2 linked regions of the Mytilus edulis genome follow. The protein of the gene in region 2 interacts with the protein of the main gene of each other region in a biochemical or structural test. Links are inferred from orthologs where the notes say so. Each region holds a gene or a part of one and is shown on either strand. Other genes may lie near its edges.

What was found. The genes of interacting proteins can lie anywhere in the genome.
Region 1: the proteins of wee1-like protein kinase (region 2) and putative peptidyl-prolyl cis-trans isomerase dodo form a complex in vitro, tested with the Homo sapiens proteins (2 studies listed by BioGRID, with this or other methods). The link is inferred for Mytilus edulis from reciprocal best matches to the Homo sapiens genes WEE1 and PIN1.

The regions. Positions count from the first base shown.
Region 1 is NC_092345.1:76,061,221-76,072,345, reverse strand, and holds the start of putative peptidyl-prolyl cis-trans isomerase dodo, read left to right. Parts: upstream 1-5,010; 5' UTR 5,011-5,115; coding exon 5,116-5,164; intron 5,165-11,125. UniProt on the Homo sapiens protein: Peptidyl-prolyl cis/trans isomerase (PPIase) that binds to and isomerizes specific phosphorylated Ser/Thr-Pro (pSer/Thr-Pro) motifs.
Region 2 is NC_092353.1:56,281,274-56,292,398, forward strand, and holds the start of wee1-like protein kinase, read right to left. Parts: upstream 6,476-11,125; 5' UTR 6,349-6,475; coding exon 5,738-6,348; intron 4,991-5,737; coding exon 4,936-4,990; intron 4,639-4,935; coding exon 4,469-4,638; intron 4,022-4,468; coding exon 3,900-4,021; intron 3,584-3,899; coding exon 3,329-3,583; intron 2,952-3,328; coding exon 2,806-2,951; intron 2,447-2,805; coding exon 2,339-2,446; intron 2,008-2,338; coding exon 1,862-2,007; intron 721-1,861; coding exon 600-720; 3' UTR 1-599. UniProt on the Homo sapiens protein: Acts as a negative regulator of entry into mitosis (G2 to M transition) by protecting the nucleus from cytoplasmically activated cyclin B1-complexed CDK1 before the onset of mitosis by mediating phosphorylation of CDK1 on 'Tyr-15'.

The sequences.
Region 1 (11,125 bases), on a different chromosome or scaffold from region 2:
TTTCAACATTTATATATGCCTGGAACTTTGAAGAGTTTTAACTTGCACTAATATTCTGTACTACGTACCTTGTACGCTTACCTCTATCTAAAGGTTTTCTGTAAGAGATAACTTTGTCCTGGTAAAATATGTCCGGGCAGACATACATTACTAGTAGAAAAGGTCCCTAGTGTTTAAATTTCCGAGTGTGCCTATGTTTCCAATAAAAATGCTACAAGACTTAAACTCAATTGTCACGTATTTTACATCGCATTTATAAATGATCTGTATGGAAAACTTGGGCGATTTTACTGCCAAATATTCTCCACTTTACAGGCTTTTGTCATGTCAGATATAAATAATATAGCAATGCTGGTCGAAGGCATTGTTAACATAATCATCCTTATCTACGGATCACAAAAGGCCATCCCTACATAGAATACAACGTCCGTTTACTCAAAATAGTTTGTACACACGTTGATAATTTTGTATTAAACAAACTTTTTTGTAAATGAACCCTGCTCTTCAAGTATAAAGATACAGAGTTAAAGTACGTCATATCATGATTTCAAACTCTAACTGCAAGTGTGCATGTAAAACGCTCACGTGATACCAAACGGACTAGACCTTATACGATAAAGATAAAACCCGAGGATTGCGGTAAAAAAGTTTTGAGCGGGAAATACAAATATAAGATTTTTTGTAGGAACGAAAAAATAAAATAAAATAAAATCTTGCTGGTAGATACAAATAAAAGATTTTCAGGCGGAACGAATTTATAGGGTCGGTCGGTAAAGGGCAAACAAACAATATTTTAATTTAAGCCTGGTACAAGTTTGCTTAAAGCTTTTAGTAGTACAAGACTACAAGCTGAAATTGGTAATCATGAATGGTACAGGATATGTATCTTACACCAAAAAATTATGACGTCTTGAAAGGCTGAATAATTTTTAGGCAGTGAAGTATTCTACTAAGCGTATACGTAACAGCAAAAAATTAAAACAGTCTTTAAAGATGTCATAAATTATAAGGGGATGAAGTCCCCTATTACAGTAGAAAAATAATAAATAAAAAATTTAATTTCCCGCAAAAAAAATCTTCTTCTAATGAACTCAAAATACAAAATGTAGTTCACATTTTTTTTTAGATTTTTAATTTTCCTGCATCTGCGGAGAAATCTACTTACATCTTCAAGTTCGTTTTTCATGAGACTATGAGATAGCGTTTTTTTCGTTTACATTGAATATAACGTCATACATTTGTAACTTAAATAACGTCACAACTATTAAAAATCCCTAACAACAGAACCAAAATAGGAAACGTTATGGTATTATCTGTGAAAGGTTATGGTATTTCCGTTTCTCTTTTAACAGATTTTGAAGTTAAATTATGTGTGAAATAAAAAAAATTAAAAAATCATTTAGACTTTGTCCCCTTTCACAGATAATGCCTGCCTCATAATCATATTATAATTATTAAGACTTAAGTTATCTGTACAGTCTCTCAGACTCAGAATTCAATACAAAAGTTATATCTTTAAAGTTCTAAGCATGGCTTAGTTTGTTTTCTTTTTATAGACCCTCGTCCCTCCTCTAATTGGAGGCTGTTCCTGAGTGCCATATGCAATTTTGATACACATGTATGCCAGTGCCAGTGTTGATCAAGTGTTTTTTTGGAGGAGGAACGCCCTACAGGCGACTTTTCGTATTTAACTGGCATAAAAAGTTCAAAATAAATATATGTCACAAAACATAAAATTCTTAAATAACAAATATTACCTACACCAGTAGTTTCCTTCAAAAGTGAATCAATTCATCAAAATGTGTCAAAATTCTTTCCTGGTGATTTGTTTTGCTTCGAGAATTTTTAGTCTCTTGAGGTTTCTCATTCTGAGGGATAAACCAAGAAAATATCGAAAATATTTTAAAATCATTCAAACGTTTGTAAATTATATCTAAATTTAGAACCAGCTTCGATCAACATAATTCCGAAAGTATATCCAATGTATAAAAAAATATACAAGAAACCTGGGGACGAATGCATTTATTTATCTTTTAGTTCAAGAAGATACATATAATACCTCATAATTGGAGATCCTTATTTTCTAATGTTATTTCTAAATTTCACTATTCTTTATTTTGTTTGTCCATTATTCTCTATTCTATATATTTTACTGCGGCACCCTCCGAGGGCACCCTACCAGTTATTCTCCATACATTATTTTTGGCCTATTTTTCACTATTCTGTATTTTTGCACACCCCACCAATCCTTCATAGTTTACAATACATATCCATATGATATTACAATAACAGCAGTTAACTGTTAAAAAGTATATAGGATTTTTTTCTGAGACAAGTGCCTGTGGTTACAGTATAATACCTAAAAAAAATAAAATAAAAATGGGGGTTCATGCATTTCCAAAGCACCTATGTTATTCATATACTATTTTTTTTATGTCGCGTTGTTAATTATTCAATTAATTGTAAGCATCCACTATTTTCCGGTTTAATGTCTTAAGTTCATTCTTCATTGGATCTTCAACAACACTCAATCACTCTGATTCAAACACAAAATTCTCTAAAACTGACATAATCAAGATAGATGCTTGATTTCTTGATTGACAATATACTTGTTACGTTTGGAGGATGTGTGTTTTCAACAGACTGTCGGCAATCCAATGGGAACCAATTGCATGTGCCCCTCTTCTTGTCGATTTTTTTCTTTATTATTATGAGGCTGACTCCATACAGGAACTTCTTAGGAAGAAAGATGAGAAGTTAGCAATATTCTTTAACTTTACTTCCCGCTATATAGATGATGTTCTCTCACTAAATAATTCCAAATTTGGTAACTATGTTGAACGCATCTATACCATCAAAATAGAGATAAGAGATACAACAGATTCAGTTAAGCCTGCCTCATATCTTGACTTACATCTAGAAAATGACAATGAGGGTCGATTGAAAACAAAACTTTACGACAAAAGAAATGATTTCAGCTTCACAATTGTGAACTTTCCATTTCTATGTAGCAACATTCCAGCAGCACATGCATATTGAGTATATTATGTCCCAACTGATACGATATTACCGAGCTTGTATTTCCTATCATGATTTCCTTGATATAGGGTTGCTGCTCACAAAGGAGCTTTTTAAAAAGAGTTCCAAATAGTTAAATCATCCCTTCGTAAATTTTACGGACGCCATCACGAGTTGGTTAACCGTTATGGAATAACTGTTTCACAGATGATATCGGATACAGAGGCGGATTTAAGGGGGGCAGGGCCCCCATTTTTTGAGAAAAAAATTGGTTGATTATATAGGGAATCACTGAAGCGTGACGGGAGCAGGCCCCCTCTTAGGCAGGCAGTGCCCCCCCCCCCCCCCCCCCTTATGAAAATTTCTAGATCCGCCACTGGGATATGTTCCTTATGTCGTAACTACAACCCACTTTTCATCACGGAATGTGACCTACCGAATTAGACTATTTACTGGGTTTTGTAATAATGAACCTGAGCAACACGATGGGTGCCACATGTGGGAGCAGGGTGTGTTTACCCACTTGATATCACCCCTAGTTTATCATGGTGGGGTTCGTGTTGCTTAAGTCTTTAGTTTTCCGTGTATTGTGTCTTGTGTACTATTATTTGTCTGCTTGTCTTTTTTATTTATTTTATAGCTCCATGGCGTTGTCAGTTTATTTTCTATATATGAGTTTGACTGCCTCTAGCTCTTTTTACGTGAATTCTATACGAGGCGCTCAATTAAAAATGATTATTGATTGATAACATAAAAGCAAGAAATACAAAAAAACAGAGGCACTTGAGGTCTACACAATTTTGAATAACTTACAAATTTTGCTTCATATTAGATATTCATGGTATTCTTTTAGATACAGAAACATCCGTGAAATACAGTTACTAGAGATCGAAATACTTCTATTACTTTTCTAAATAATTAAATCTTTTCATTTCGCTGGCCTGCTGCTTTTTTACGGAATACTATACGCCGATATTTCCGCTTTGCTACTATGAACGGCGAGCTTTTTACATTTTAGAAATCTAGTCAGTCCATTCCTGGGGTAGTTATAACTGTTGCTTCTCTGTTTGCAGGATTTATTAAAATCTTTTCTCCGCTTGAATTGTATTTAGTTTTGTTTCTTTGTGCTAGCCAGCTGATCATCTTGTATAGTTAGGTGCGGTGTGCTTGCATCTTGCGAACCGACTCCAGTCCGGATGGTCCAACACAATACGTAAAGTGCAATAATTGATAATATGATAACCCTGTCTCTATTTGTATTCCCTTTCTTAAGTTGTCTAAAATTGTATGTGATGACCAGAGTAAAGACATCTTAGTGTACTAACTACAGTAACACAATTATAGAGCCATGGCAACAGTGTTCTTTTTACTTATGTGCAATTTGTGATGTTATCAGGTAGTTGGTTCAAGTGGCAGTTATAGTTCTTGGAAACAATATACTTGACAGTCTGTACTAAGGATACAACCCCGGGTGCATGATGGAATAAGAATGATCAAGAATGTCATGTTTTTCAAGTTTGTGTGGACTGATTGACTTTATCCTTATCTACATGTACCAAAGAAAATAAAGATAGTTACTAACTTATTTAAAAAAAATCTTAAACTGTCGTCGAGATTTATATGTGCATTTATTTTGTAATATTTTTTTTGTATGCTAGAGTTATGCTGCCAGTGTCAGTTTCAATCTAATTAAAAACCGATCTCTCATCGCTCCTGTTTCTGATATGTCGCGACATATCAGAAACAGGAGCGATGAGAGATCGGTTTTTAATTAGATTGTGTCAGTTTAAGATAAATATTTTTTTTCAAATTCAAGTATATTTTACGGGATAAAGCATATATGATAAACTTGTCATTGCATAATGCAAGTGTACAAAATACATTTCATTTACAACATGTTTTTATATCATGAAGGTTAAAGCTCATCAGAGCTTATGTATAAATGTTTGTCAATATGAAATAATCTTACTTTATCAATATACGGAATATACACATAGTTTTATCCGCTGTTGTTTTATATATTCGACTCTCCATTTTAAACACTTTTTAACCCTGATCAAGCCGCTATTTCCACATTTTTATTTTTCAATCGGCACGATGTCAGACGTACCAGAAGGATGGGAAAGGAAAATAAGTCGCTCAAATAGTAATTTATAACAGAATTTAACTAGCAAACTATCATTTAAAATTAAGATCGATCATCCCAATCACGTTGAGTCACGAAATTTGGGCTAACACTCACTCTCGGCCCTAGTCCAAATAATTATGACATCTTGAAAGCTAGTCCAAATAATTATGACGTCTTGAAAGGCTATTATAATTTTTTCTATGACGCCTTACTTCGACGTAAAAGAAAAAAATTAAAATAGCCTTTCAAGACGTCATAATTATTTGGACTACTTGAAAGCCTGTTATAATTTTTTTCTTTGACGCTAAAAAAATTATAATAGGCTTTCAAGACGTCATAATTATTTGTTCTATCTCCGCCACATACAGTGAAACACTGTCACTGACCAACAGAAACTGATTTGTATGTAATAAACGGGTGCAGGTCGTTTCGTAACCTGGTCGTTTCGTAACTAGTCTATTTGTAACTTACTAGGTTGTTTCGTATCTGAGACATTTTGTAACCAATATCAATATATAATAATAATATGAGTCGTAGGTTACTTAAAAAATAATAAAAAGACCTATTGGTGTACCATGTATATTTATTTATTAAATAATTGATTGCACCTAATTTTACACTTTACAAGTACAGTTTTGCACATATGCGAATAGAACAGAAGAATTTAAATTGTCCATCATCATTTAGATGTACCCCGTCTTTATCAAACTATTTAGTCGTCTGCCACGTGCTGTGATGTCTTCAATACTTGACACCACTCATCTTTATGTTGCTGAGTTCTTTATTAATCTTTTTTTTTCCATCATAAGGTTTCTTTCATGTTTCTTGTTTTTAGTCTGACGATATTGGAGCCTATAACTACAGAAAGAACACCAATTAGCCAATAATTAAAAAGATTTAAGAAAGTTTTAAATTAAAAACATTACAATATTGTTTTTATTAGATGAAAAATTTGATAATCTTTTTACAATCCCAATTTGTGACAAAACCTCAAATTTGCTACTCAAATAAGTGATTTAAAAATCACTTATTTCAGTAAGTCCCCTGATAGTCCAGTCGAATTGTGAAAAAATTGCTCAGAATGTGGTAAAAGCATCAAACTTTGCAGAGTGTTAGTTGAGGTCATAACTAACATTTTTAGCTATGGACCCAATTTAGAAAATCAAAATGGCGGCTCTGGGCGGCCATTTTGAAATCATGTCCAAAAAAATAATAAAAATAATTAGAAAAAATATGAAAAATATATTTCTTTACCAATTTTGATAAACTTTCGTATTTCTTATGACAGAGAATATCAACTGAGGACTATTGAAGCATTTAGTGGCCATCTTGAATGGTGGCCATCTTGGAAACGTAAATTTCCAATATATCATTATTCGCTATCCTAAAAAAAAATTTGTATTAATATTAAGTTTTATTTGCATTTACAACTAGTTTTGCTAATCATTTATTTATGACTGTTAATATAGGATATATTCACCAAGTGCTCAAATAAGCTATGCGTATGTAAACACGGTTAACAAATAAATGTATGTAAAGAAATACGTACATTCTTTTAATTGCAGTTAAGCATATAGGGCTCAGTTACATGTTTACCTTCAAAAAATGTGTATATACAATATGAGTTATGACCACTGTATGTTGAAAAGGAAAACTGCGTAGCTATTACAATCACTGGAGCTGAAAAAAATAATAAAAAAAAATAGACTGGAAAGAATTCCGTAACGCGAAGAGAGGACACGTAAGGATTTGCAATGCCAGGCAAATACAAAAAGAGCAGACATAGACATTTGAGCTGGTAATCAGTCAGTTGTTGTAAGCATAAAACTGTTCCAAGTTGATGAAGGACATGTAATGGGAGAATCACAAGGCAAAAGGTAATAATCCTTTCAAGGCAAATCTTAAGATCAAAATATATTTTGTCAGGAAAAACGAAAAAAGTCTGATGAGTCACGGATTGAAAAAAACCCAGTAAAATAACCAGCCACAATTGTGATGAATCAACAAGAACAATAACTGCAGGGTGTTTTGTTTTTCTTTCTTTTTGATGAGGTATCTGACTATCATTCATCATCAAGCATCGACAATTATGATCGACAATAGTGTACGTTACTGTCACTTGAACTACTAACCATTGTTCTTTTAGCCAGACTCAGTGCAGGAGATTCATATTTCAAGAGCAGATAACATGCTAAATGTTTGTTAAAACTGCACGATTAGACAATTAGACGGAATTCGAGACACAGAAAGAAAGTCAGTAATCTGTTATCCATGGAATGGGCCTCGCCAAAATGATAGAAACAGTGACGGCTACAGTCTGGAATTGTTTTAATATTTGAAATTGATGATATCTGTAAATTGTACAGTGAATGTTCTTAGTAAATATGAGTTGTTATGAAAGGAATGATCAATACAACACTTCTAAAAATTGAAAACTAGCTGCCATAGATGATATGCAAGAACACATGAATAGTTGCGTCTTTCTCTGGATTCTCAACGAATATGTTGGGGATGTTCTGAAAAAGGCCATGTCTTTTAGTCGTGATGGTGAAGGCCTCTTCATAGTCAAAGTAACTAGAATAGTTTGAAGAGTTAGGCTTACTACTATAAAAAGGTTTACAGGGACACTCAATATAGGCTTTCAAAATGAATCAGTTCCACAATCTTTGAGACATCTTACTCTCTATCCGATGGCTGATAAATTTCAGTTGTATCCTTTCGACTACGAGTTGCACAATTGAACTATTATAGCTGAGAAATAGTATGTTTGTCTGCCACTCAACGATATAACTGGACTGTGTCACGATGGTATGCCATCATGTATCATTCTTACTGAGGAAACTTATGTCTGTTGGACTGATTCGTGTCAACAGCGTTTACTGAGTGTCCCTGTAAAGCTATTTTAGTATCAAGCATATATATATTTGCCTGCTATGGCTATGGTGATGCCTTTATTTTTACCCTTTTATAAAGAGGTCTGTTCTAGAGCGTCACGAATACCTTTGTTGAAAATCAAGAGAACTAATTTATCTTGCTTGTATGCTTGCTATGGCAGCTACATTCCAATTTTGTTAACAGCGTTGTATCAGTTCTTCCTTCCATGAAAACTCCAAGTTGTTCCAGGCGTTAACTGTACAATTTAGCGTGATGTGCAAGCTTGGAGATTAGTACAATACCTCTTCCAGACCGTGTGCCATCAATGTATTTTATTATTTTGGAAAGCATAGCTCTAATGATAAAAGATTCCTGGCTTTCTTTCTGTGTCTTGTACTCTCTGATTTGCTATGTTGTCAAGTTTTATCAATCATCAAGCAGGATATTAGTGAGTTGACATCTTCAGCACTTACTTTGGCTAGGGGAATATGTCTTGTAGTACAGGTGCACAGTCATGCCCTATTTTTGTCGATTTGAAAATGTCGATGTATCATGGAGATCTTCAGATACATCACCACAGAAAAGATACACTTCAGTCATTGATTTGGTTGATCCAGTATCACCTTACATTGTCTGGTTACTTATTGTTTTCTTTCAATTGGCAACTTATCTAGTATGTTTTCCCTTTTACTGATGAAATATTTTGAGATCTGAACATTTGTTTGACATGAGTTGTGCCATTATGCCTTGTGATTCTGGAGTGCTTCTGCAGTTCCATAGCCCTCATTCAACTGTTTTGAATTGAGCGAAAGGAAAAGCATTTCAAAACCCAACATCTTCATATGTTTGCATCAAAAGAGTGATTGCCAGCTCAAATGTATATGTCTGTTCCATTTGTATCTGCTTGGCATTGCAAACCCTCACATTTCCTCTCTTGTCGTTTCACACATTCCTTACAGTCTAGTCGCCCATAATGTTCTTCTGATATCTAGCCCCAGGGTTTTCGAAATCTACAATTTGTATCTTTTCCAACAAAAACTTTCGGTCATAAATTATATCATGTATACGTAATTTCTGTTTTAAAAAGTTACTTAGGCAAACATGTAAGTAACAAAAATTCTGACACTGATATCTTTATTATGCAAACATGTGCATGCCTTATCTGACTTCTTTGTGAATATCAAATATAGATTAGTAAAAAATGTATGAATGCAAACAGTGAATTAATAAGATAAGCAAATAATGATATATTGGAAAATCATGTTTTCAAAATGGCCATCATTCAAGATGGCTACCCTAAAAAAAATCAATATATATGAAGTTCTCAGATGACAGGCCTTGTCATCTGTGATGAATATACCATATGACTATATAATAACTTCCTGCAGTAAGCGCTCAACTTATACATGTTATAAGTCAAAGTGAACACGGTTCCTAAGGAAATGCAAATGTGTAAAAAAAGTATTAAGTAGTACTACGATATGTAAACGTGGATGACAATGTGATCGAATATGATAGACAGAGTGTGATTTGGTAAAACATATACATTTCATTTATTGTTAGATATTTTTAACGTCAATTGAAAACATTTGCGTAATTGATGTTCTTTTAACATTACTTGCATGATATGTAATTCATTATGTCTGCAACCAAGGTTTTTGAAAGTTTTTTTAAATGAGCAATATCAACATAACGAATTATCCTGTAATCAGACAATTATTATAAACGACAGGTATACACATATTTTCTTGCTTTATTTGTACTTGTAAAATAAAATCTCCTGTTATTCTATGTTGAACAAGCGGTGGAACGAATATTGGTTTTAGAGTAATAGTTCATTTTATGATCCTCTTCGTGGTCCGCGTTTTAATGCTATTATACCCGATACACAACAGAAGAATAACTCGGGGAGGAGGGTATGCTCACTTTTTTTCCTATTTATATAGCTCAAACAAATACATTTGTATATCTTCGACAATGCATTTTTTTTTTTTATTTTTATCGAAAAATGACTACATATTTTGGCTTAAAAAATCAAGACTTTTCAAGATGGCCGCCATTCAATATGGGAAATATTTCCAAAACTTTTGTTCAACAAGACAATTGAAATCGGCACTGTTGTTCTATTAACCAGGTTTCATGTCAACATCTTCTCTAATATCATTTTCATGATTTTTTTTTATTAATCTACAAAGATTTAACGGCCGCCATTTTAAAATGGCCGCCTCGTCCACAAATTTCGACTTTCAGAGTGGGTCCATAGCTTGAAATGTTGTCCATGACATATACTACTACTATGCCAAATTTCATGCTTTTACCACAATCTGAGCAATTTTGTCAAAAATCTGCACAAATCGACTGGACTATGACAGATAACCATATATACATTTAATTACACCAGGTACAAAACGTCTCAGTTACAAATCAACATAGTTACGAATCGACCAGATAACTGCCAGACTGTCATGAAGTGTGTCCAGTTTAAGGGCAATAATGCCAATATTTTTCTTGATAAGACCTCATGATCAGTGTCACCAGAGACATGTACATTTGTATATACATGTTTGTCTCTGGTGTCACTTAGTGGAGGTTTCATTGGGGGGTTCTGATCCCGTATACTGCTTACTGTTTTGTCAGATTCCCATATCCTGCTTACACTATACATTGTATGTAAGCAATTCTCATTTTTTCCCATGTCCCGCTAGACTTATTTGCCGTTTTCGTGTCACGCTTACAAAAAATCTGCAATCCTGTGTCACGCTTAGACCCAAATGAGACCCATCTTAGTGACTCACTGAATGCTCTGACACAGTCAGAGTCAGTCATGTTTGATTTATATGTTTTAGAATGATGAGAACGGAAGAAATGAAGCAAACTATTAACCTTTTATCCAGATGTCAAATTTAGGTTGATGTACGTTTTCGAGTAACAAGCAACGGAACTTAGGCTGGCGAAAATGCACGAAGTGATAAAAAGTTGTATTTTTATCAAATAACCTGATACACACTGCGAAGACAATGCTTCAACCTCTTTTCTAAAGATAATGAATAGTTTATGTCTGAATTTCTTTAATTATCAGTAAAAAATTGATGTTTCATCAACTTG
Region 2 (11,125 bases):
TAAATGTGGTTCTATAATTTATATTTTTATGAATGGAAAACGTAACAATGATTACTAGGACATTAAAATTTGATAATTACTATAAATATCTTTAAATTACAAACAAACAAATAATTTTACATGAACTATCACCAATGAAAATGAACCACATTTCTCCAGCTCTTATTTTTGTAAACAATATAAATTCTATCAGAATACAAGCTCCTAACAAATTTTAAAATAACAATGCAAACAAGCAAAGGTAACATGCTGCAATCTAACATTATAATTCATTATTTTCTTAACATGCAATTTCTCAATTCAAAAAAGAGTCCAAAAATAAAAGAGTAAAGTTCAAAATTTGAGGACCAAGAATCTATGGTCCAAACCAGAGGATAATAAATAAGATGGCATCTCCAACAGATGAATATAAATAGAACTATGATATGAAAATAAACATGCCCAATCTGTTAACCCTTTGTCTTGGCACATTAACAGGAAATATTACATAACAATGTATAACAAATTTATACTGGTATAATAGGGTCCAGTCTTTATACAATTATTTTTACAAATTGTGTATTGCACAGTGTCCTCCTTCAGCGTAAAATTGATTCTCTTTAAAAGTTTGTCATGCTTAAGCTCCTTTTCATTCTGTTTCCAATTAGTCGACTCACTTTATCTGGCTGTGCAAACACGGGGGTATTCTGTACAAGGCACTGGGTAGCTTCTATTAATTTTCTGAAGAGAAAAAAAAAAGGTTAGAATGTTGTATACAGAATTGAATGCACAAATTATAAAATATGATGTTTTAAAAAATTAAATTTTACAGTTTTTACATGTGTGTATTAATATACAACTATTTAATCTCCAATTCAATTCTTTTGAGCATCCACTGTTCCAGGCTTTTTCTACAAGTATTGAGGCATAACAACATTATTTTTTTTAATTTATCTTCTTTTTATGTCAAAATCACATTGCAAAACAATCTTTTATTCTCATTGTTGGAGGCCTTATGGTGACCTTTAAATGCTTCAAAAAGTTCATACTTTGTCTGTGGGACTCTTCTAGATAGTTCATGATAATTCATTTGCTATCATATCATATTTTTTAAATTGTACTAGAACACACCCGTGATATCGCAGGTCCGTGACTGAATTAAAGTATATAACTTTGCGCAAGCCTTATTTTAGTATTAGTATTGTCATCTGATAAAGTCATGCCGATTATAAGATACACAGTTTTCTTTGTTTTCAACTTGAATCTTTCTGTTTGAACCCGTCGAACTGGAACTTATCAATTATTGTTAATATTAATTATTTGGAAAACAAAAGGTCCTGGAATGGAGTATTTTTTAATGATCAACAGCATTGTCCTATATTAGTTATAAAGTTGAATTCTTTGATTCGCTGTTTTAAGTCATGCCCGCTAACAAATTGCAAACTGTACCTATACGCCTTATTTTTAGTCCAGATGTTTAGTATTCGTATTGTTGTCTTAGAAAGTCTTACTGATTAAAATACTACAATTTAGTAGTGTCAATCCTGTGATTATGACCCGTGTATATAGCATATTAATCCTGAATACACCGTTTGGTGGTGCGCCTGTCAGATGCGGAACGTACAGATAAGGTAATAGGTAACAGGTGAATATACTATTGGTATCGGTATCGGACTCGATCCGGAACTTCTTAATTATTGGCAATATTAATTACGTGGAAAACAAAAGGGCCTGGAGTGGTGTAATTTTTAATCTACACCTTTGTACTATATTAGTTATATATAAAGTTGAATTCTTTGATTCGTCGTTTTTACGTGATGACGGCTGACAAATTGGACCTCGTAATTTTAGTATTATAGATATTAAAAGTTAATTTAAGTACCTTGATAACATCTGGTTTTTAAATCTTTCTTCGTTCAGTTCTTTTCTAAGCTGGGCTTTTGATTTTTTAGCCTGCGGACACAAGACAGGATGTTGTGCAATTTGTGTTGCTGAAGGTCTTTGTGTTGGGTCAGGGTCTACCATACTCTTTAAAAAATAATAAAATAATAAATACATTTTCTCTTCAAAATCAGTAGCATATTATAAATTGTGATTCAAAAATGCTCTTTTATTTTGTTAAAATATACATATATACAATAGACATTCAAGACTTCTATATTTACATAACAAAATATTGGAAAGTTCTTTTTCCATTTTTCAAAACAAAAATTATAACCTGTATCAAGCTGCAGATTGCATAATATAATTTTATAGTTCGTTATTACCAATCTGATCAACTTTGTCTAAACACAATTTAATAATTAAATTATTATTTCCCTAGATGTTCTTTAACATTGACAACAAATGCTGAACTTACTTTGATTAGGTGGTTCATTTCTACAGTCAGATGTGGTAATGATGGTAATTCACCACGTCTGATGGCATGCCACTTAGGTCCATTCTTAGGTAAGGGATATCCACCTGCCTGTAATAGAAAAATATTGGTATGAGTGCAAATGAATAAATGAAAGGATAGGTAGGTATTATCTCAAATCCAGCATCAATTTAAGCCACTAGACAGATATCCAAGACAAGTAAATATTGATTCAAACAAGTTTCCAGACCGGTAGATGAAAAAGGTTTTGGCATAGACTTGTCAGTTTTTTATTTCACAACATTCAAATTAAGTGATAGACACAAATAATTATATAAACGAAATATGATCCTTTACAATTTTTTATTGCTACATGTGTATCTTTTTCTTTGAATATTGATCACTTTGAAAAGCATTTCTTCACTATATCTAGGAACTTGGAGGGATTTTTATATATCTAGACAACTTACCGCTTCATACATAGTTAATCCGAGTGAGAAGATATCAGATTTAGTCAGGTTCTCATAGTCATCATTGAGAATTTCTTTTGGTAAATATCGACAATCTCCATCATCAACTGTTGGGTTAGACACTGATGTTACATGACCTAAATCTCCTGCAATGATAAAATTATATTATGTTACAACTGATGTTAAAAGGTGTACAAATATTTGGACAAGGCTACACCTTCCCATGCTTTCTATGATACAATGTATCAATGAAAAAGAGGAATATACTTTTCTTAACAGTCATAAAACTTCATAAATCACAAATTTCTGATGACAGGTAACCAAGTTAAGATCTTGCACTTCATGGGCAATATAATCATTCAAAATGCTGATCTGAATTTTTAAATTTTTTAAAATATTTTCCTCAAAACAAATTTTATATACATGTAATCTTAAATAGAAGGAAAATAACCAAAATTTGGAAAAATTACTGTCCATTAACTCGCTCACCACACAACAACTTGTTAGTTTTAACGTTACTTACCAATTTTATATGTAATGGCTTCTTCTACTTCATCATCTTCCTCCAAAGATTCCATCCCACTCTCAGGAGAGTTCAAGAACTTAGGGTTCCGATGGATGAATACATTGCCTGGTTTGACATCAAGATGGACAAGGTTCTGGGAGTGTATGTATCTCAGTCCCCTCGACACTTGAAGGAGAATCTGCTTAAATTCATCCTCACCCAATTTACGGCCAGTCTTCCTGTTGGTATCAATTACATCAGCTAGACTCCCACCTAAGAATTAAAAAAACTTTAAATATGAAACCTATCAATAGTTTAAATAATTTTATAACCTTAATGACATTAACTTCTTCCTTAAAGGAAACAGAGTAAACAAATTGGAATTAATTTGAGACAGAAAAGGGTGACTTTCAACAATTACTTTTCACATCTATAAGGCTGTGATTCTTTTTTTCTAGGAGAGCTAGTTTCGTTTTTCAGTTTATTATTTACAGCAGATGCACTACTATATCCTTGTATAACTCATTTTTTGTAATCTTGTAAGGTTCTCTTTTCAAATTTTGAAAACAACCTAATATGAAGCTCTTACCATTACAGTATTCATTTTGTATGTACATATAATCATCTTCAGCCCAGGCAGAGTAGTATCTCACGACATGTTGATGTTTTCCTAAAACAGCATGTGCGTACACTTCATTCATGGCATTCCTCCTGAAAGTAAGTAAATAAAATGTTTAGTAAAAGGAATACATAAACAAGACAACTACATGTGGGCAACATTCAAATCCTCATTCAGCTTCAATGTTGACTCTACATTTGTCCAAAACAATCAAGCTTAAAATTTTAAGTAGAAATATGCATGCGATTGTATTTTTTACCAGTATGGTACTTGATAGTGTAAAATGTTACATTCCTTCATATGATACATGTAGCATTACTCAAATGCAAAATATATTTGTTTAAGGTAGTTTCCCCCAAACTTTTGAATCTTAACTCTTATTCAACCGATTGTGTAACCTTGTGTGTAGTTCGATGAAACTATCTGTAACCATTCAAAATTCAAGTTAACCACAATGTTAAAACCTGTAATTTTCAATCTAAGGACACATTAGGTAGTTAATGTATGCCATTTTGGGAAGAAAATATAACTATACTTACTCATACTGGCTCCCTGCTACTGGTGCCTTGGACTTCTTTATGGCATATGTACATCCATCTAATCGGTGAATACATTTGTAAACACTACCAAATTCTCCATCACCAAGTTTACACACTTCATGAAACTCTTCGTTATACCGTGATGTGTTGATTTCATGCAAGGCAATTTTCTGAAAAAGAATGGAGAAATTAATCATTGCTGCTGCTTAAGAAAGTTCGTCAAACATTTATCAAATGAGGAACGTGAACATCAATCTTTTTTTCTCCAAACCTCGCATAATTTCCATCGATATCTATCTGCAGCTTTTATAAAGTTTCCACTTGTTATTTGCAATATCTTTCTTAACTAAACAATGTTTCAGTAAGTTGACAATATTTATTACATTTTAATTTTATTTTTTTTAAATGCTTAAAAGTGTTTATTCCTTCTTTTTACAGCTGAACTAAATTTATACAACTGTACATACCTTTGTTGATGGCATATCTATTTCTATTTCATCAGCTGAATCTTCTAATAAACTCCTGGAAATAATCAAATAATATTTATAACATATGTACATGTACTGATATTTATTAGAAATGAAGGAATTTTGGGTGATCAACTTCTTTCCCTATTCCTAGTCAGTCTGCCTTTGCAACAAAACATTTATTTCAAAATAAACTTGAGACAACTTTGATAAAAGTGTCAAGGAAATGAATTTTCAAACAAAAATATGTACATGATATCATATAAATATATCTACTGAAACGCTATGCAAGGTTGATAAACAATGAAACTTGGAAATATTCTCAACCTTAACTTTAGTCACGATGGGAGCTGCTGCGATTTTACAAATAGCAATTAACAAAATCTGGATCTGTTTTTTTTAAATCTGATCAGCTGATGGCATCATGCAAACCCGAACTAAACACAATGCTATCCTCAGACAAAATCTCCAACTTGACAGAAATCAAAACTTAACAATTAACATTAGAAATGAGTCATCATTTTATTTCTAAACTTAGAATGATGTAATTTAAGAAACAAATTGTTTGAACTAGTACAAATGTAGTATGAAACTTGGGACCATATTTACAAAAAAGCACAATATCTACTGAAATAAGCCGCTGGTTTAAGGTTGATTTTTGTACCTATTCAAATACATTTCAGCTTAGTAACTTGGGTGATCTGCAGACTGCTGTGGATTTTCAAATTATTCCAACTTTTTTCATGTCAGATCATAAACTTAAATAATAAATACTGTCTAATACAACTATATTTAAACTTACTTTTCCATTTGCTCTCTGCTTCTTTTTATACTGGCCATGCCAGATGACACTGAACACGATAAAGGTCTGTTGTTGCATGGTGTAAATGGGTTGACATTGGCCTCCACTTTTTCGCCATTTTCTTTTGAATTTGATTTTCTTTCATCTGTCAATCTCCTCCGTCTAGCTTTTTGTAATAAAGATTTAGGTGTATGAGGAGTATCAAAAAGTCTTAATGCTCTAAGCTTACGTGACGGTGGTGAAATCGGACACGCTTCGTCCGGAGAGATGACATGTTTTCCAGGGGCTGGCACTCGCTGTTCGTCATCCTCCACGTCACCATCATTTTCATCGTCTATTCCAAACGGAATTGGTGATAATTTCCGAGAACTAATAAATGTCCTTGCTGAACGAGATGTAGAATTTAAATATGGTGTTGATATATCCACTTCCAAATAATCTGGCTCATCGTAACTTTCCATACTCGGTGAATGAAATGGGCTAGACCCACCATCGTTCGGGCTGAACTCCCCGTCGGAATCGTGAAAATTCAATGTTTTAACTAATCCATTTTCTCTCTTTCTCAAGGCCGATCGCCTTCCTCTACGAACTCTTGGTTGTAACGTTGACATTTCCAAATCACTTTGTTATTATTGTAAATCCAGTTTTCAAATGAAATATGTTTACAAAATTTGTAAATATAAATCCAAACCACGCTTGTCGTAAATGGCGGGTCTGTCGATCATGTGATTTTTATGACCAATGAAAATTGTCCTCTGTAAGATGTTTATCGCACTTACCAATCGGTATAGTCTATTCCATTGTTATCAGAACAGCCTGGGGCAATATTTTATTTTTCAAAAATTGCAATTTGCTTTACAATCAACAAATAATAGTAAATCTGTAATACTTATCGAGTGTATTATACATGATTTGTTTACACTTTTAGTTTCTAAAGAAATATGATGGAGTACGCTGCTGCTGATGATGATTTCACAACAAAAAAATGTATACTACATCAATTTCTAATTTCTATCACCTATAGATATGATTCCATTATCTGTTATTCTCTTATTACTGTGTTAAACTTTTTCTAAGTAAGAAGGATAAAAAGAACAATTAGCCTAATAATAAAAATACTAGAATCATACACGGATATATGTGTGAGTTCTTTTTTTTTTTTTTGGGGGGGGGGGGAGGGGGGGTCAATCGTCAAACAAAAATGCACAGCAAATGGTCCAGATACACCAACACCATATCATATGGTAGTGCATTTGCCCTTGGTCTCTTTTCCATTTTAGTGACTTGTATTATTCCTTCAACTTATTTTTCTGGATAAGAGACAAGGTGGACCTCTGTAAGCAAACTATTTCCATTCTCAATTTAATATGGTGAATTAATAAATTATTAAACTATGTTTGCTGGCACTCTGGCATGGCAGAAAAATCAAAGATTTGAAACTTTGAAAGAACTAAAATAACTTATAAATAATAACAATAACAATTGTTTTATGTGTTGTGATATTTTATATGTTTATAGATATATATTCTTTAATATTATCTCATCCTCTTCGTGTGAATTATAATTTTTATTTTATCTTCATTATATGTCTTATATGTTTATGTGTTAAGAATCAGAATGTATTGTGTATTGTTGTCATTATGTCCCATCAGGGAAAATAAAGAACTTTGAACTTTGACCTTTATACAAAAACATTAACTAAATCAAAACATGCACAGTGCAGCTACGAATGGTTTTAAATCTAACTTGAACAAGGCTTATTTGAAGCGTCATCATACATTGCCAAACAAAATGTGTGCTCACTTTTAGGAATTCAGCTACCTCATTGTTAACTGCCGTTAATTAAGGTCCAGAAAAGTCAGTCAACGAGTATATTTTACATTGTGTGTATTTTTTAAATGTTTGTTTTTTAACGGAATCAGTATATTAACAGATAATGCACTGAAAAAGGATGTAAACGTTTTGCAAAAGTATTAAAAAGACTTAAGTATATCTGTAAAAGCAACTTTTATTTCAATTCAAGTTTATGCCCATTCAAGTTAGCTACCTAAAGTTGTTGATGTCTGTGTCATTTTGGTCTTTTGTGGATAGTTGTCTCATTGGCAATCATACCACATCTTCTTTTTTATATTATTCAAAATAATTCGGCAAGTCGTATAAAAGATGAGAAATATATGAGCCATATGATGAGGCAAGATCAGTATCATCTTTAAGGTAGAAGGAAGGTGTATGCATGATCGCATCTTTTGTCGTATATTTATATTGATAAGTTTACTCTTATTCAATTTTAAGTAAGCGTATAATGATTTCAAGAGACCCAATTGTCCATGTTCTTCGTCCCCCGCTTGTTTACTAAGTATACTTTTAACCTCTTGACTGAAATTTTAATTGACCTGATACAAAAAAAATGACACTGATCCCTTGCGCTAATATGGTAAGGATTTTGGTACACTAGTGTTATGAATTTGACATTTGCAATGATTCATCTAAACCAGCGGGTGACGTCATTTATCAGCAGGTGAACTTCAAAGGTGTGAAGCCATGCAGATTCATATTTATTGCAGAAAAAACACGAAGTGTGTTGTATGTTACACCTCTAGGTGTTTGTTTCTACTGCTATTTGTTTAATTTTGCCAGTTTATCTAATTTTATTCTTTGTTTCTTAGATTTATAGAAAATATTTCTTTTAAACTCCGATAATTGATAAAAATGTACCGGCAGTAATTAATTCGTGTTATCGTTAATAAACATTAGTTTATCTGTTATGTGATATTTCGTATAGCAACATAAAACAGTGTGAATTTTTAATTTCTTATCATATTTATATTAATCTTAAACCAGACAATAAAACATGTTTTTCTTATAAATATCCTTATCTATGTATTTTTATCACATTTAATTGTCGTAATATTCTTTTATTTGTGTTTAAATGAAACATATAAATCATGTTTATACTTATGACTAAATTCCCATCACTTTGATTCCACAACATTTAACAAAATCCTCAAACAAATTCTTTAATGAATCCCATGATATTTTCTAAGCAACTCTTTCAACATCATACAACTAATTTGACGGGGACTTGTTATGCAGGGTATAAAGTAATGCTGCCTCTTTCTTTAAAATATATAATTGATTTCTTTTCATTGTAAAATATGTGTTAACTATTTGCCACTGGTCGTTCAGCAAATGAATTTAGAAGCAATCAGTCTTGCTCAGTAAATATTATACAAAACGAAAAAGCTTTTTGATAAGCTTGTTCTTTTTTAATATGATACAGATGAAAAGTAAAACAATCAATTTGTTAATTTCTTTTCTTTTTACTCAGCTCGACAATCTTGCAGCATGTTCGAATATTCGGTCATAAAACAGATTCTTATTAGTTGATTATCATTTTTTTATGAGGAGATCTTTCTACAACAAACGACTGAACAGCCAGAGACTTGATGCAATGTGGGGGTTTGGAGGTTGAAATTTGCAACTCAGGCCAAAAATTATTAAAATAAATCCCAACCATGTTTATAGTTATTAAACCTTTTTAAAAGAACTTTAATTATTCTTTAGATGGTTTCTGTTTATATGCGTGAACTATTTGCCATTGTCGTTTGTCTTGTGGTAACGTGCTCGTCTGCAGTGCCGTAAGTTGTTGCTTATCATCAAGACGGGTGCCATGTGTGGAGCAGGATCTGCTTACCCTGCCGGATCACCTGATATAAACTCAAGTCTTTGGTTGGGATCGTGTTATTTGGTCTTTAGTTTTCTGTGTTGAGTCTTGTTTTCTATTATTTTTCTTTTTTTAGCCATGGCGTTGTCAGTTTATTTTCGATTTACGAGTTTGAATATCGCTCTGGTATCTTTCGCCCCTCTTTTTAAATCTCTGTTAGGGTGAAACTAAAGAAGTTACTTAATATTTGCTGCTTCTATATACAATATGCAAGCGTCATTATAAGGGATACTATATAGAGCTAGCAAAAACTTGTCAGTTCTGAGTCTGAGTAATGTTTTGGTGCTGCTTGGGTGACATGTTTTCCTGCTTACATATATAGATTGAGAAGTACTACGATAAAGATCCGGCTTAGCGTGTTGGTCTAATACAAAGCAGTGCTCATGTCGTATTGTCTATTGACATGATATCGTCCAGAATAAGTATTAATTTGCCACTGGACGTTAAACATTCAACAGTCTTTATCGAAATACATTTTTCAAATTTATATTCGTGCATGAGAGCGATTGAAAATTACTGGATCAAAATTAGAGAATAAAGGGTAAAACAAGGCATAAGAATGGAATCCTAGACAAACAAAATGAAGAGAATTATAGGGTGATAAGATATAAAGATAATAGAAAATATAGAGAATAATAAGGTTCCTAATTCTAAGGAATATTGAGAATATAGTAGGCCTAGGCAAACAAAAATAAATATAAGCGAATAAATGGGCACAAAATTCAGTTAAGAAGTATTGAAAATGATCATTCTTAATTTGTTAAAAACTTAAATAAAAAACACACGGATGAAATCCTCACATACCGTACATTTCTTTCATGCACCTTGATATACAATTACTTTAGTGAAAAACTGTAGCTTATAAAACATTTCTAATAATTGGTACCTTTTGCTTAATCAACGATGAGTTTTTCATATTTGTGAAACCCCTTTTCTTTTCTTCACTTATGCTCAAACCCTAATACCAAAGATTTGAATAATATCTGAATACATGTATACATATCTCCTAAAGACGGCACTCTATTTGGAGTGCAAATGTACTTATTGAAGAAAGCAATGGACAGTCATTCTTTATACTGAATTTAATTATTTTTAAATCGATAATGAAGATGGGGATTTGTAAAGATCTGTTAATTTCACAGGTTAGGCCAAAAAGAATGATTTTATCTGACAAAATATTGACACTGTTCTTATCTTTAGTAATGAACACAGTCACTTGGATTGTGAGTCGAGATCGCCTAGATTAAAATTCCATTTCAAACCTGTAATCAGGGATCAAATTTTGAAAGGAATATTATCTATTTTCTGGCAAAAATTACTTTTTTCTCACATTCATTGTCTAATTGCTAAAAAAGCAATTATATTATTGTAGTTAACACATTTCCTTTGTTATCCTTTCTTTAAACCAGTCAACTGTGACGGCCTTTCAGAATTTTGTAGTCACCTTGATATAATTAGTCAACAGTTTTGTATTGAACAATAAGTTGTCATTTTCTTAATTATTACATAACAATGGGCATGTCATTGTATTATTTTTATAGGGAAATAATTAGCATTGATGACTCAATAATTAACCTCAATCAAAACCACCCTCACCTTTGATGTCAAATCAATATTGTTTAGGATCAATATTAGAAATTCGATAATTAAAATACACAATATTT